Linked DNA regions of Lonchura striata. The protein of the gene in region 2 purifies or fractionates together with the protein of the main gene of each other region. This does not show direct contact. Links are inferred from orthologs where the notes say so. Each region holds a gene or a part of one and is shown on either strand. Other genes may lie near its edges.

Evidence for each region.
Region 1: the proteins of RYK (region 2) and PCDH7 purify together in Homo sapiens (affinity purification with mass spectrometry; 3 studies listed by BioGRID and IntAct, with this or other methods). This does not show direct contact. The link is inferred for Lonchura striata from reciprocal best matches to the Homo sapiens genes RYK and PCDH7.

The regions. Positions count from the first base shown.
Region 1 is NC_134606.1:20,194,137-20,198,043, reverse strand, and holds the start of PCDH7 (protocadherin-7), read right to left. Parts: upstream 2,730-3,907; 5' UTR 1,026-2,729; coding exon 1-1,025.
Region 2 is NC_134612.1:5,531,294-5,535,200, forward strand, and holds the start of RYK (tyrosine-protein kinase RYK), read right to left. Parts: upstream 2,515-3,907; coding exon 2,241-2,514; intron 1-2,240. UniProt on the Homo sapiens protein: May be a coreceptor along with FZD8 of Wnt proteins, such as WNT1, WNT3, WNT3A and WNT5A. Involved in neuron differentiation, axon guidance, corpus callosum establishment and neurite outgrowth.

The DNA.
Region 1 (3,907 bases), on a different chromosome or scaffold from region 2:
CTGACGGACTCAGTGGCCGCCCCGAAGACGTACTCGATCTGCCCATTCACTCCCACGTCCAGGTCGGTGGCTCGCAGCTGCAGGATCGGGGTCCCAGGGCTGCTGTTCTCCGCCAGGTCCGCCTCATAGACGCTCTTCTCGAAGCGGGGGCTGTTGTCGTTCACGTCGGTGATCAGCACCCTCAGGATGGCCTGCGAGGACCGTGCCGGGTCGCCGCCGTCCCGCACGCGGAGGCTGAGCTCGTAGGAGTCCCGCTGCTCCCGGTCCAGCGCCCCCTTGACGATCAGCTGCGGCTGCTTCTCCCCGTCCAGGGTGTCGGCCACCTGCAGCTCGAAGACGCTGCTGCGGGCGGCCGCCTCCGCCTCCTGCCGCCGCTTGCTGCCGCCGGGGAAGGGGGCGCTCTCGGGGGCCGCCGCGGCCGCGCCCCCCCCGCCGCCGCGCCGGCCGCCGTCCCCGCCGGGCTCCTGCAGCAGCTCGTAGCGCTCGATGCCGTTGCGGCCGAAGTCCCTGTCGGTGGCGGTGGGGAGCAGGTAGAGCGTCCCCACGGGCCGGTTCTCCTCCACGGTGAGCGTGAGGACGGGGGAAGGAAAGGTGGGGGTGTTGTCGTTGATGTCCAGGATGATGACCCGGCCCTCGAAGAGGTCCACCCAGCTCTGCGAGGGGCCGATGACCGACACCTCAAAGTCCAAGAAGCACTCGTTCTCGTCGAAGATCATCTGGCACTGCGGCAGCTTTTCGCGGTCGATGCGCCGCTCTGTGGTGCTCAGCTCCCCGGTCATGTTATCGATCTTGAGGTAGTCGGAGCCCGACTCCAGGCTGAATGTCACCTCTCCGGAGCCCGTCACGATCCCCAGGTCGGAAGCCACGTTGCCGATGCGGATGTCGGCGGGTCCCTCCTCGGCCAGCCGGTACTTCAGGAGCTGCTTAGCCGCTGCGAGGCTGACCCAGAGCGGAGGAGGCAGGAGGAACAAGAAGCAGCAGCAGCAGCAATGCACAAAGCGAAGGAGGGTCCGCATCTTCCTCATCTTCCTCGTACCGAAACCCCCCTCCCTCCTCTCACTCCCACCTGCCCCCCAATAAACTCCCCTGACAAGCCAACAGTGCGGCTGACAGTCCAGGTGATCAATTATAAAATCCTTCTATTTCTGGAAACTTATTGTCTCATGACTGGTGCAATTGGTGGTCAAAACCCTGCTGCTGGCTCCTCTGCTGCTATCCCTGCCTTCCAGTTGCGATATACTTACAGTTCACGGGACAGCAGATTTTGCTTTTTAAAGATTCATCTCAGTAGATAGGATGGGATTTTCCTCCTCCTCCCCCTTCTCCTCCTCCTCCTCTCTGATTTTACTGTATTCACTTTGCAAGGTTTGCAATAAAAGCAGAAGCAGTACTGTACGATTCGAAGCCCCCCAGGTCGTTGTCTTCAACACTAGAGTTAACTATAATTCACACACTCTCTCTCTTTTCTCTCTCTCTCTCTCCCCCTCTCAGCCGTTTACGACCAAGGCATTAGCTTTATTTTTCCCCCTCTCTGCACACACAGGGGAAAATATTGTGATTCGCTTTATTCAAAGGGCTTGGGTCCGGGAAAACTCCAAATCCTCTTAGCAATGGGCAGCTCTTATAAAAAAAAAAAAAAAACACCACCACCAACAACAAAAAAAAAAACCAAACAAAAAAAAACCCAGAAAGTAAAAAAAAAAAAAAAAATCCCAATAATGTCGGCAGCTGCACAGCTGATAGGAGAGAACCCCGGCTATTACAGTGCAGTCCAAAGAATATCCCCTTTGGTTGGCAAAAAAGCACCCAAATCCATCTTCAGAGATCGCCTAAAATGTTCAGCTCTTTCTCCGGAGCGGATTTTTTTTAACAACTCTGCGCAAGGTCATTAGTCACAAAGCAACGATACAGAAACTGCAGAAGCCGTTTGCCCGGAATTTGCAAGGCTGGAGATAAGAACATAGACACACAACAGTCCCAAGTTTGTTTTTGCATCCGCAGTTTGTGTGTGTGCCTTACCTGCATTTGCACTGCATGTGTTAAAGCAATCTGGATCTGCAGCACTGAGAGCGATTCACAAATGAGATTGCAGTCTCCCTCTCTCTCTCTCTCTCTCTCTCTCCTCTTCCTTCCCGTCCCAATGCAGGTAACCAGATCTGAACTTGATCCTTTCAGTTCAAAGGTTAGCAACAAAACTATGTGTCCAAAGGCGATTATTGGTCTCTCGTAATTATACCCGGAGCGGAACAAGATGTAACTGGATCCCCCATGTGAATTAACACAGATTCTGAATTACATCCATATAAAGCGGAATGGCAAAGGGGAGGGGAAAAAAGCCGCGACGCGATTAAAAAAAATACAGAGTTCTATTTGCAAATAAAATTGTATCAGTCAGTTGTTTCCTTTGATCTGCACTGCCACAGTGGGTGAAATCTGCAATTGTGTATTCCCTCCTGTGTCTTTCAGAGAAGTGTGGATCAGGCGCTTTCACGGCAGAGCGGCTTGTGCTTTAAAATGTTGAATGGCAATTGAGAAGCTTCTCACTCGTAAGGAAAAAAAAAAGAAAAAAAGAAGAAGAAGAAAAAAAAAAAAAAAAAAAAAAGAAGAAGCGGTAAACCGGCAAGTTTGCCCAAAGTGGAGGGAGCTGCTGAAGCCTCTCTCGGTAGCTCTTCCCTGACGCTGCAGCAGCAGAGCCGCCTGCGCTACATACACACAGAAAGAGAGGGAGAGAGAGAAAGAGGGAGAGCAGAGAGAGAGAGAGAGAGAGAGAGAGAGAGGGAGGGCGGGAGGGAGGGAGGGAGGAGGAGGAGGGACGACGAGTCAAGCGCTGCACTCCAGAAAGCTCAGTCTTACCCTCTGTCTCTGCTGCTAGTACTGCAAGTGGGATAGCTGCTCATCACAAAACACCAGTCCAGTCCTCAAAACCGATCCTCATTTCACGCCCGAGTGTTGCTTCTGTTGCTTTCTCAAACCCGTGATCTATAGTGATTTTCTCCTCTCCCTCCCCACGTCCGCTATAGACTGTGAATCGAGCAACGATTTTTAAAGCAAATGTTTGTTCGTCTTTCTTTTCTTCTATTGTGCATTTTGCGGAATCAAGCTGGTAAGGAAACTCGTTTTGCAGATTCCCACCTTCCCCTGTTGTGTCGGTGCTTTTGTGAAATAGCTGCAGTCACTGTAACTGCATAAAACTCCAGGGAGGAAGGGGGACTGCCTTACATCTCAGACTTTCGTCCTGTTTCCCAATGCTGTTTCAGCCTCTCAGTCTTTGTGATTGTGTTCTTCCTATTACCATGTTTTGAATGTGTTTTCAGCATGTTTGTGGGTATCCTAGGAGAAAAATAAAAAATAAATTAAAAAAAAAAAAACAACAACAAACAAAACCAGCCTCGGAAATGATCAGGAAGGGAGCGAGAGGGTTAGTAGAATAAACACATGTAAGAAGTAACAGACTTATTTCCGAACAGAGACTTGCTGCTTCGATGATTGCTAAAATGTAGCGTCACCTACCTGGGTAAGTGGGAAATAAACTTTAATGCTAAAGCTCTTCGGCTCAACTTTGCTTATTCTGACATCTCTAGTTCGCGTCTCCTTTTGACTTTGAGCCATTTAATCGCGTATGGCTTTTGTGTGCTACCGCCCTACCCTTGGTGATGCCTGGCTCCTTACCTGTCCTTTCTGCTCGGAGCCCGGAGGGAAAAGAGGGAGGCTCCGGGGGCAGGCGAGTGGGGGGCAGCCAGTGGGGAAAGAATGAGCGTGTGCGGGTGTGTATGCGCGCTTGTGTGCGGGTGTGTGTGCGCGGGTGTGTGCGGGTACATGTGTGTGCGCCTGTGTGCGTGCGCGCAGCCAGGGGAAGGCAGGAATCCAGCTGCTCTTTCTCCCTCTGCGAACACATGTGGGAAAGCAA
Region 2 (3,907 bases):
GGTGAAAGAATCCAGTTTCTATTAGCAGCTTCACTGAACTTAACACTTCACTTCACAAGCAACCTCATTTTCCTATCCCCGTGACTATCCCAGCATCTGCTGACCCACGGCTTTTCTTAAAGAAGTTCCAGAAGCTGAATCCCCTCACTGCCCTTGGCAAGTTCATGCATATGTACGAGGCCTTAAACCATGAACTTGACTGTATAAACCCCAATCAGATAGTACAAAATGGAACATATGAAAAGCTGGGTTTGTTTTCAGAATCGTGAACACCTGGAACAAAACTGTCTGTCCCTCTGGATTTTCTTCTGCCAGAGGAATACATTAAGTTATTGATAAATTGGCCTGTGTCTAAATGCCTCCCTAAACTACACCTCACCTACAGACAAGAGCACCCCTATAATTGTAGAGATACCCCTAAAATTAAATCTACTCATGCCAACAGCACAATTTAGATCATGGAAGTTTGGTTTGCAACAGATTTCCAGTGATCTGAACCCCACTAACTGAAGGAAGTCCCAGTTTACCTCCACATTAGATTCCAATTTATCCAAGTCTCTGGGGTCACAGAGGCAGAACAGATCATTCATGTCAGATACTAAAAGTGATATAAACCAGCTACAGACAGCCGAGTAGTGAGTGCCTTCGGCCATGTAGTAATAGACCCCCACAAGCGAGGCTAGAGGAAGAAATTTAGCTTAAAAAATAGTAACAGCACATCTTGCCTCCTCAGCTGCTACTTCATGATGAATAATTATGTCAGTGGGCCACGGAAGCCTGAACAAATCCAACTAACAGAGATTTCAGGCACTAGACAGGGGAGAGCCCAAACCTTACCTTTCAGTACTCCCAAGATTAACTACTTATTTAGAATCCCAGCTCACCAGAAAGTCAGACATTTTCACCCTCTATCTGTACCAGAGCATCTGGCAGTAAGCACGTGCCACGTACAAATGACAACAGCAGGACACTGATCACCAGGGCAAGCCACGAGGGAAAAATGTTTACAGTGCTCTTCAGTCCCCAGATTCCATGACTTGGGTCAGCTGTGTGCTCACAGAGTGCAAATTAACTGGAGATATTTTTATTTTGTCCATTTGACACAAATAAAGTCTTGCACTGGCAGTTTTCCAGCTTGCAGAGATACAGGGCATTTGGGAAAAACAAATCACTGGGGACACCAACAGATTTGTTTTGAGACTCCAGCCACCAACTCTAAACAAGAGCCTATGCAAGCCAAAGCCTACAGAAAACAAATCTTTGTTTAAGTCAGACTCTCCAAGCACAGAACTCCTGTGAAAGCCTTCCACAGCGGGCCAGATGGGGGACTTCAGGAACTGCCTCCAAGTCCTTGCACAGCAATTGTCAGCCTGCCTAGAAATTAAGATTCCTTTCACACACACACACCCAATTATTGCCAGGTCTCCTCTCTGCCCTCTGTATGTCGCTTGCCTGGCTAATTAAATCATGGTTTTGAGTTCACTCCTTCCAGGGCTTACCCTGCTCCCACAGGACACGATCCCCGGTTGCTCCAGTCTGGGGAGCCCCTCACCATAAGGGTGAAGCCTTTTCTTCCCCTAACCACATACACACAAAGCAGCACAGAGACCACCTTTGACTCGTCTATTCTCACCACGACCCCAGTCCTACAAAACCCACAGATCCCCGGGATCACCGATCCCCACCCCAGTCCCACAGCTCTCCATCCTCTCCTGAGCTCCATATCCTTCATCCTCGCTCAAGACCCTTTCTATCCTTCTCTGCACGCCCAAATCTGCGTCCCTTGCAGAGTCCCACAGACACCCCCCGTCTCCTGGACCCCAGAGCAAACCCCTGGCTCTGCTGACACCCACCATCCCCACCCCAGTGCCTCAGCCCCACACCCTCCCGAGCCGCAAGTCCTTCACCCCCATTCGCAGCCACTCCCACAGAACCCACACAAATCCCTGGATTCACCCATTCCCATCCCAGACCCACAGACCCCCCATCCTCTCCGGTCCTTCATCCCGCAGCCTCTCCAGCACCCGAGATCTGCTTCCCTCCCAACACTCCCACGGACACCCCAATTCACTCCTGGGCCCCAGAGCCTGCTAACGCTCATCATTCCCAGCCCAGTCCCACAGCTCCCCATCCCTTTCCAGCCCGCAAACCTCCACCCCGGCCCAGCGGACTCCCCTCGGGCCCTCCCGAGCGGCCGGGCTCCCCCCACCGCAGCCCCGCGCCGCCCCGGGCGCACTCACCGATCAGCTGCCGCACCTCCTCCTCGCTCAGGTAGATGCTGAGGCTGGGCCCGGCGCCGCTGGGGGGCCAGTCCGGGGCGTGCGGGCCGGGCCCGGGCTGGCCCTGGACGCCGGCGGGCAGCACCAGCAGCAGCAGCAGCAGCAGCGGCGGCGGCAGCAGGCGGAGGAGATGGCGGCGCGGGCCCCGCACCCGCCGGCCCCGCCGCGGCCCCGCGCCCGCCTCCCGGGGTCGGCCCCGCCGCCCCCCGCCGGGCTGCCGGCGCCGCGGCACCATCGCTCCGCGGGGACGGAGGGACGGACGCAGGGCCGGGGGGAAGCGGGCGGGACCCCCCGCCCCGCCGGACCCTCGCACGGCGCGGCCGCCCCAGGCCCCGCCCCGCGCACGCGCCGCTCCCGCCGCCGCGGGCGGCCCCTCGGCGCGGGCGGCAGGGGCGGGATCCCCTCACGGCCATTCCCGCCTCTTCCCGCATCCCGCCCGGCGGCGGGAGGAAGAGGAGGAGGGACGGCATCCCCGCTCCCGGCGGGTGCCGCTCTCAGAGTGACTGCATCGGAGAAGACTTCGAAGATCCTTGGGTCCAACCTGCGACCGGTCCCCACCTTGTCAGCCAGCCCAGAGCACTGAGTGCCCCGTCCAGGCCTTCCGTGGACACCTCCAGCTATGGAGACTCCAAACCTCCTTGGGCAGCCGCTTTTAATGCCTGGCCGCCCTCTCCATGATGTCCAACCTGAACCTGCCCTGGCCCAGCCTGAGGCCATTCCTTCATCCTGTCCCTGTTCCTTGGGAGCAGAGCCTGACCCCCCTGGCTGAGGGGGTCCCTGACACCTGTCAGGAGTTGTGCACAGCCACAAGGTTCCCTGAGCCTCCTTTTCTCCAGGCTGAGCCCCTTTCCAGCTCCCTCAGCCGCTCCTGGTGCTCCAGCCCCTTCCCCATCTCCGTTTCATCCTCTGCACATGCTCCAACCCCTCAATATCCTCCTTGTGAGGACCAGAACGGGACACAACACTTGAAGGATCTCACAGTGCCCAGTCACCGCCCTGGTCCTGCTGGACCCATTGGCCTCTTGCCCACATGGGCACACCTGGGCTCATGTCCAGCCACGATTGACCTGCATCTCCAAAGCCTTGGCCAGGTCCTTTATGGCATCTGACCCCACCGTGGAGGTCACCCACTGAATCACCTCATGCTCACCCGAGACCCTGCACATCCCCCCGCTTCTGCTAAGCTGTGGTTGCCTCCATCTCCAAACCCTTCCAGACAGACATCCATCCAGGATGGGCCAGGGGGTCATGGCCAAAACTGGAAGTGCTCTGCCAAAATATCCCCCAGAAATGATAATCCCAAAGTGACAGACTGTGGGACACCTGGTGCCCACCAAAGCTGCTCCATCAGCTGGAGAGGGGAGAGAAAATATAATGCTCCTAAATTGAGATTAAATACAGGAAGAGACCACTCAGCAATTATTGTCATGGGCAAAACAAGAGGAAAGTTTGAGGAAATGTATGGAATTTATAACCAGATTGGTAGAATAATGAGAAGTCTGTTTTGGAGCCAGCCGGCATCAGCTCCATCAGACACAGGGGAAGCTTCTGGCAGCTTCTCAAAGAAGCCACTTCTATAGCTCCCCCACTATCCAAACCCCAACACACTGCTCAGAGGCTTTCCCAAT